2 linked regions of the Mus musculus genome follow. The protein of the gene in region 2 interacts with the protein of the main gene of each other region in a biochemical or structural test. Links are inferred from orthologs where the notes say so. Each region holds a gene or a part of one and is shown on either strand. Other genes may lie near its edges. The genes, in order: Pomc and Mc4r.

Region 1 (4,518 bases), on a different chromosome or scaffold from region 2:
CCCCCAAAAGATCATTTCTTTTATGTCCATGATGAAGTAAAAGTATGTTTTTCCACATTCCCACATAGCTTCTAAGTTCACTGCCTGGAGAAAGCTATAGTTCAACACTCTGTATCCAAAGGGTGAGAGTAACTAAGACAAAAGATAGGAAAGTCCTGCCTTGGTTCCTTTCGCCTAACATTTGATCATTTCCCATGAAAGGTAGGTTTGAATACAGGCAAATAAAGCCAGTCCACTTAATCAAGGTTTGATATTCTATACACAAATTGCCTGGTGACTGTCATTTTCTAGACCCTAGTAACTTTGGGAAGATTTCTCTCTAAAGCAGATTCCACTTCCCTTAAAACTATCCTGTTTTCTAAACATACACACCACACATCATAAGTCTTGTAGTCTGAAATATGTGATTTTGAAGAGGATGTCAATATTGAGGACAGAGAGATAGGCAAAAGAATGGAAAGGAAGCTGCCTCCACAGTGGAGAACGACTAAGATACTGTGGAGGAATGCAAAGCACCTCTGGGCAGATATGGAGGTCAAAAGACCAACAGGCAGGAGAGAGAGAGAGAGAGAGAGAGAGAGAGAGAGAGAGAGAGAGCAACTTTGGTCCCCTGGTGTCCAGCTCTTCCCTCACACTGCTAGGTTCTTAGCCTGTGATATCTGTTCCCCCTCACCCAAGGACCCCTAATGTCACCCTACTCTGTAAAAGTTCCCCACCAACTTTACACTCATTCTGGATTTCAGATTACCAGCTGTTAGGAAGACATTTAATTAGATTAGAAAAATTAGTTCATAGTAAGATGTAAATACCCAGGCTCATACCTTTAATCCCAGCACCCAGGAAATAGAGGCAGGAGGATCTCTGAGTTCAAGACCAGCCTGGTCTACAGAAAAAATTCCAGAACAGCTAGGGTTACACAGAAATACCCTGACCTGAAAAAAATAAAATAAAATAAAATGTAATAATTTTAAAAAAGATGTAAATGACTTAAGTGTCTGTTACCCCTGATGAACATTTGCATTTTAAGATGAATATGACAGAAAATAAAGACGGGAGCCAAACCTCTATTTTTGAAAGGGAGGATTTGGAAGTGAAAGTCTTCCTTCAAGAATCTCTTTCTCCTCTCTGCTCCACCCCTGCACCATTCTTCTAGAGCTGGTTTTTCCTGCAAGCTCTGAGTGTCTTTTTCAGAACAACCATTAGTAGGCGCTAGCAGTCATTGAACTATGTGGTCCGTACCTCAGCCTAGAAGCAACCTTGTTCACCATTGCTGGGGCTCAGGCTCAGACTGGAGCAAATTAGCTCAAAATGCTGAGATCACAAAATTCCCCCAGATAGGAAAGCATAAAAAATGATAAATAGCATGAAAACATATTAGTAAAGAAAAGTAAGATCATGCAAGTCCTCTCACTAAGTTTCCATTGTCCTGAAAGTTGTGTGACCATCTTTGAAGGAGCCACAGTTGAGATTTCAGGCCTTCAAAATTGTGCCTTCTCTTCCTAGCCCACCCACTGTGTGCTGAAATTCTTATGCCCCACTCCTAGAGCATTTTATTTGTATTTCTCCCTTTTCTTACAATGAAACAAATGTCTTATTTGTGCCTCTTTTTTTTTTTAATCAAAAGTATTGAGGGAAATGTCAAATGCTGTGCTTTTCATAGATAGGAGAGTGTCAGGTTCCAGTCATTAACATCTCTGGAAGACAGAAGGTTGTGGTTTATTCATTTTGACAGAACTGCGCTTATTAGGGCCCCAGAAAAGTCTCTGAACTCAGTAGAGCTTATATGTTCTGCTCTCAGAGTGACTGCGACAAGCTGTGTATAAATCTGAGAGGCACAGAGATGCGGCTTCATCCATACACAGTGCGTTTGCTTCAACTTCTATAAGACCCAAAGGAAACAATCTGCACTTACTTTATACATTGACAAACTTCTTTTCATTTTACTTAACTCCTTCCAGCCATTCTGTGAAAGCTTCCCATGATTTATACATGGAAAACTTGAGGGAATCTTTCTCTCCATTTGAAATGTCCTTTACCTGAGTATGGGTCCTTACAAATTGCTGCAACGCCCCCACAGTTTTATAAAGGCTTCCGAAAGTAGACGGAGTATTTCAGAACCTTGGACAGTTCCCTCCCACACCCTGTTTTTAAATCTGAGCTGGATCTTGAAGACAAGAACCTACTTACCGTCCTGTCCTATAACCCACGTAATTATCACAATGCAACCACCCCAGATCTGCTAAGATGCGCAGAGAAACGAGGGTTTGGACGTCTACAGCAACAACAAATGAACTCCACCATTAGGAGTTTATTGTGACTCGGCTTTCTCTCCCGCTATCTTTCCAACATGTTCAGTCTCCTGCCTTAAAGAAGATATACAAGTCCAAACAATCGGAAGGAGAAGCCTAAAGGGGAACTCTCCCAAAATCTCCCCAGGGGCCAGTCGGAGTCTAAGACAATCCTAAGCCTCCCAACACTTCATTCCTCCATGCGGACTCTGGGACCATCCCCAGATGGAGTCGCCAAACCACCTGCTCTCTGGAGCAGTCTGTCAACCCATCATCCGGGCTCAGCTCTCTCCCATCTCAGAAGTTTGAGAAGAGGTCAGGTCCGCTACAAACCAGAACGCCAGTCTGCTGAGGATCCCAAGGTCCGGGGTCAGAGCTCAGAGTAAGGGAGCTGTCCAGAGCTGAGACACCCTTACCTGTCGCGGAAAGGCAGCTCTCTGGGGACAAAGATGTTCAGTGGCCTCTCTTAGTCACTGCTCTTAACCTCTTTTCTCTTCCGTCGCCTCCCGTTTGGTCCCTGTCGCTCTTCTCTCTTCTTTTATACTTGCAGGGTTGGGTGGGTGAGCCTTGGACGTGACCTTCCTGGCAGCGCTTCTGCAGCGAAGGGGGGCGGCGGGCCTCGGGAGGGGGGCTTCCCGGTCCTGGCTGAGCGCAAGGCACATCTGCCTGGAAAGCGCGGAGGCTGGCGTTAGCACAGACCCGCTGAAGCGCACACCTGGCGCTGGTGGTTAGGAAGAACTTAATTAAGAATGGTGTTGAATCTCCACTTAGAACTGGACAGAGGCTTAGCGTCCCTGTGCGAGGCAGGCCTAGTTCTGAGATCTTGCAGATCGGAGTGGAATTACCTATGTGCGTCCATCTGCCTTCCTGGCATTTGGAGGTAAATATCACTAATGAGGAAGGGGATTTGTTATGTCGCAGATTTCCCCAATGATGGGAAAGTGTGATATCTTGTGAAACCAAAATCTCAGTTCCGTTTTGAGAAGGGAGACAACAGAGGCTGTCAAGAGTCACGGCCGCCCAAGGCAGGCTACCTTTTGGAGTGGGGTGTGTGCCTGCCTTGATTCCCCAATACTTATTTCAAGACAGGTGTCCTTCTGTGCCCAAACTCTAAGGGCAAGGTCATGCCAGCCTCAGACTATTAACCAAGAGGTGCAGCGCTCTGTGGTGGGCAATGGAAATGGAAGCCATCCCGGGGCTGAGCTGGCAGAATGGTCTGGGTGGGGATTGTCTGACAGCCCTCACCATGTGGCCAGGCCCAGGCATTCTGGCTTAGCTGTGAACTCACAGGCCAAAACAGAAGGAAGAACAGACCTGCAGTGGCATCTACCTGAGCCAGCACAAAGAGCAAAACTTGTGAAGAGAGCTGTGGCTGGCAGCAGGACCAGGCCTGTACCAGACCAGTCGGGGTGCCTGCCTAATCTACCAGCTGAAGGAACTTCACTCCCCAGTTAGACGCTGTTTGCTTGTCTATTTGCTTTGTTTTGTTTGGGGGATTCCAGGGCTCCTTTGAGAGTTCAGCTTTTCTGATTGGCATCCAAAAATCTTTTCCTTTTGTGCCATGAGAGAACACACCAAGCTCCCAAACAAGAGCAAGGAGTGTGTCACCTGGCTGTGGCCTCTTTCCGGAGTGACTTCCTGCTGTCCATCTTGTATCCTGGGTGTCACATACTCCCAACACTCATACTCCATGAGCACTACTTTCTGCCTCTACTTCCCTGAGTGTTTCCCGGAAGCTTAGCACCCTCTGTCCCTCCAGTGAGGTTACTCCCCATCATCTCCCAGTTCATATTAAGCCCCCTTTGGCTATTATTTCTGCCAGGAGCCTGAGAAATGATCTGTGTTCGGCAGGGAACCCCATTCTTGTCTCATCTGTATATGTAGCTTATTATACTTGAACTAATACACTTCTGTCTTCAACCTCCCATCCACCTCTGCCCTCACCGACATCAGGCTCACCAGCTCTCTAATTGTGGTGATTTTGTCTTTGTTTTCCTTTGCTTTATTGTTCTGTCTTTAGGGGGCTGCTTGCTACTGGCAGCCTCAAAGTCAAATCAAGGTAAGTTTGGGTTGGCCCATCATCTGGGCTCCTAATTATATATAGAAGAACTTGCTTTGGCCAATATGAACTGAAAAGCTTGAAAAGTTATTAAACAACATTAGGAAACACTGGTTGGGCTATAGGATGTAAAGGGGGAGGGCAGGAGACAGGGTGGCTGGACCCACGGCC
Region 2 (4,388 bases):
AAGCCTTCATGATGCTGGGTTAGGAAAGACTTTCTTTGCTATGAAAACCAGATGCACTCTATGCCCAAGGGCAAGAGTTACTCAGAAAGATTATTCAGTTAACCACGTGATACTTAAACAACTCCACGGAGTTCTTCTCTATCACTTATTTACTGGTTAGATAATTCGCCATTGGAGAAAGTGTGAAAAGGAACATGAATATGTAAATCATCCTTCTTAAGGGCTTTAGTGAAGTGTCTGGAGGGAACAACTGCCAGCTGCTGTAACAGCTGAGCCACTTGGGAGTTTACAATAGTAAAAGCTGCCCCTTGTTCCTAGCGCATTTGCGGTCGTTGGTCAGCTCAAGATGGAATGAGTCTAGAGGGGGAGCTCTATTCTGCACAGTTACTTAGTAGGGGGCTTCTACACCACAGAGCATCTAGAAACTCTGCAGTCATTTTCCAAACAGGAGAAAAAGTATAATCAAGAGAAAGGTGACGCAATGAGTACCAACTCCTGTACTATTAGTCAGAATTCAGTAGTAGGTCCTACTCAGTTCCTGAGTTGCATGGCAACACTAACTTAGCACAGTGTTCTGAAGAAACGGTTAGCATTGTCTCTAACACACACACACACACACACACACACACACACACACACACACACACACACGGGGTGCGGGGGGGAATGGGGGCGGGGGCGGGGCTCAAAGCTAAGTGGCCATCTCTTCAAAGCAACACACATGAATGTGCACTCACTGGAGCTAGCCTGAGTAAGTACGGAGCCAAAGTGTTTACAGTTTCAGGTTGTGATGCTTCCAACTATGGAAGAAGAAAAATAAACAAGTTAAAAAACAAAAACCAGAACACTATCTTTAAAAAAAAAAACAAACAACAAAACATCAACAAAATCCTACCAACCTAACCAACAATAACAACAACAGACCATGCAGAATATTATCACATTGTTGATTTGTCTAAGTTCACAGACAATACGCTTTCACAAATGCCACTTGAACTTTTTAAAATACAGTGAATGACCACTTTTCCAGCCGTTAGAGCAGAAACTGCAAATGGAGAAACAGCTACCAGCACGCAAGAAGTGAACCTGGTCTTAATCTCTGGCTTTGCTGTAATTCTCCACAGCATACTCATCTATTTAATTAAATTACTGCCTGCATTTCTAGTCTTTCAAACTGAGCCTTCCGTCATTCAGGGGGGCATCCTGGGCAGAGGGGCAGCGCCTGCTTCGGGAGCCAGGACAGCTGCTTTTCATTTCTTTTTTTTATCCACAATCACGCATGAGTTCAGTCTCAAGGAGGAAAGAGCCTGGCTGATTCCCGAGGATTTCAGGAGTATCTCAGAATGTGCTCGAGCAATCAAGTCATTTCTCTTAAAACTTGGAAAGGAAAATCCCGTGATACCTTCCCACCCCAGCAGCCCTAGCCACTGAGCCGGTTGCTGCGCTGTAATCTATCTGTGCAAGATCGATGTCTCAGAACCACTGAATACGGATTGGTCAGAAGGAAGCAGAGGAGGAGCCATTCAGAACACCCCCCACCCCCCGGCCCCCCTCCGTCTAACCATAAGAAATCAGCAGCCCGCACTAGGCTGCTCTGGCTCACAAAGATGCTCAGGAAGCTGAACTTCTGAGAGGCTGCGGTGTGAGTGTGGGCGCGCAGATGCAGACGCGGCTCCCAGCAGTACAGCGAGTCTCAGGGAAAAGGACTCTGAAAAGACCCCGAGTGAATACTAAAGTGAAAGCCGCACTGAGAGAGAGAGAAAAAAAAGCAAACAGCAGACTGGTCAACCGAGAATGAGCATTCAGAAGCACCAGCTTCTAAAGAGACGATGATCTGAGCCGAACCCAGAAGAGACCAACAACTCCTTTGCGAGTTCCGCTGCTTCTGACCCTGCTCCTAGCAGGCGCCAAGCGCAGCCTCCCAACTTCTACAGGCATACAGACTGGGAGAGAATCACTCGGAGCTTCCCTGACCCAGGAGGTTGGATCAGTTCAAGGAGGACTCAAATCCAGCTGCTGCAGGAAGATGAACTCCACCCACCACCATGGCATGTATACTTCCCTCCACCTCTGGAACCGCAGCAGCTACGGGCTGCACGGCAATGCCAGCGAGTCGCTGGGGAAGGGCCACCCGGACGGAGGATGCTATGAGCAACTTTTTGTTTCCCCCGAGGTGTTTGTGACTCTGGGTGTCATAAGCCTGTTGGAGAACATTCTAGTGATCGTGGCGATAGCCAAGAACAAGAACCTGCACTCACCCATGTACTTTTTCATCTGTAGCCTGGCTGTGGCAGATATGCTGGTGAGCGTTTCGAATGGGTCGGAAACCATCGTCATTACCCTGTTAAACAGTACGGATACGGATGCCCAGAGCTTCACCGTGAACATTGATAATGTCATTGACTCTGTGATCTGTAGCTCCTTGCTCGCATCCATTTGCAGCCTGCTTTCCATTGCGGTGGACAGGTATTTCACTATCTTTTACGCGCTCCAGTACCATAACATCATGACGGTTAGGCGGGTCGGGATCATCATAAGTTGTATCTGGGCAGCTTGCACTGTGTCAGGCGTCCTCTTCATCATTTACTCGGACAGCAGCGCTGTCATCATCTGCCTCATTTCCATGTTCTTCACTATGCTAGTTCTCATGGCCTCTCTCTATGTCCACATGTTCCTGATGGCGAGGCTTCACATTAAGAGGATTGCTGTCCTCCCAGGCACAGGGACCATCCGCCAGGGTACCAACATGAAGGGGGCGATTACCTTGACCATCCTGATTGGAGTCTTTGTTGTCTGCTGGGCCCCGTTCTTTCTCCATTTACTGTTCTACATCTCTTGCCCTCAGAATCCATACTGCGTGTGCTTCATGTCTCATTTTAATTTGTATCTCATACTGATCATGTGTAACGCCGTCATCGACCCTCTCATTTATGCCCTCCGGAGTCAAGAACTGAGGAAAACTTTCAAAGAGATCATCTGTTTCTATCCTCTGGGAGGCATCTGTGAGTTGTCTAGCAGGTATTAAGTGGGGGACAGAGTGCAAACTAGGTAGATACCTGCAGACTTTGTCACTCTGGCCCGATCTGAGCAGTGTACTTCCCAACAGCTGCCTCTTCTGTGTAATGCTTTGGTTGAAAATATCTACTGTATAAATGTAAGTTTGTGACTTTTGACATGGAAAAAAAAGTCTCAACGTGTTATGTTTATTGACACGCTATTTTTTTTGTTTGTAAAATGCTTATTTATGTTCTATATAGTGTGGGCGTTATGAATTGACATGAAAGAAAAACAGACACCCTTATTAAAACTTTGACAGTGTTTCTTTCCTGTTATTTATCAAGGTTCCACACTTGTTCTTTCTGTAGTGGCCGAAATCAGAACCTTATTAAACGTGTTCTCAGCTGTTCTCATGTATTAGCCCCACAGTACTGCAGAGGCACTGACCCCACTGTTTATGGGGAAATATTTAAACACTACATGCTTGATCATTAAAATGAGTCAGCTCTCTTAGTGAAATTTCGAGCAATCGAATAAAAGCTTGCCTATTATCCTTGCTGTCCAAATACACTGATGCTTCTTTTTAAGTAAAGGAAAGAGAAAGGGGGAAGAAGCAGCTACTGAGGAGAAAGTGAGATTTCTGTCACATGCATTTCTCCAAGAAGGAATGGTTCATTGCCCGAGACTCAGAGTTCACACAGGCAAGTCAGCTGTGGTAGGGGAAATGCCCACTTAATAGATTAAAGATATTATAATAGATAATAATAGATAAAATAGATTAATAGATAAAATAGATACCAATCTTAATAGATTAAAGTGTCCTGTTAAATATAAACTGTCCACACCATGCTGAAATTTCCTATGCCAAATGATACCCCACCATAACAGAATGATTTCTTTCTGGCTTCTTACCAGGGATCTGGTTCCTACAGAAAGGTCTAGAACAGCTCCCTCTGCACTTAGAGGTCCAGCGTTCATTTCATCTTAGAGTTAATAGTGAGTTGTGCTATCTTTCATGTGGCGGGGGACTTGTTGTTCACTTTCTGATTACTTTTTGAGCTGGAATATAAGTGCTGAAGATCAAGTGATTTAATTCCCAAGCCAAATCCACATCACAAAACATTTTGGGACAGGGTTTGTAAATATCTAAAGTGTGGAGCCCTGTGGTGCTTGCACATAACGAGATGGAAAGAGAACACAAATGGGGTCCTGGAAGGTACAGTAAAACACCCTGCTGTTCTTAGTCATGTCTTGGGATGGGGAATGCTTGTTTTCTCCAAACTAATACCAAAGGTGTGGCCACTGAGCAACCAAATCTATGCTTTCTAGTCTGTGTATACTTTGAAATAAAAGGGATAAAAATCTACATTAGGCCTATGACTAGAGGCCAA

Evidence for each region.
Region 1: the proteins of Mc4r (region 2) and Pomc form a complex in vitro, tested with the Homo sapiens proteins (2 studies listed by BioGRID). The link is inferred for Mus musculus from reciprocal best matches to the Homo sapiens genes MC4R and POMC.

The regions. Positions count from the first base shown.
Region 1 is NC_000078.6:3,953,233-3,957,750, reverse strand, and holds the start of Pomc (pro-opiomelanocortin preproprotein), read right to left. Parts: upstream 2,807-4,518; 5' UTR 2,705-2,806; intron 2,364-2,704; exon of another isoform or gene 2,188-2,363; intron 933-2,187; exon of another isoform or gene 822-932; intron 1-821.
Region 2 is NC_000084.6:66,857,679-66,862,066, reverse strand, and holds Mc4r (melanocortin receptor 4), read left to right. Parts: upstream 1-1,579; 5' UTR 1,580-2,026; coding exon 2,027-3,025; 3' UTR 3,026-4,362; downstream 4,363-4,388.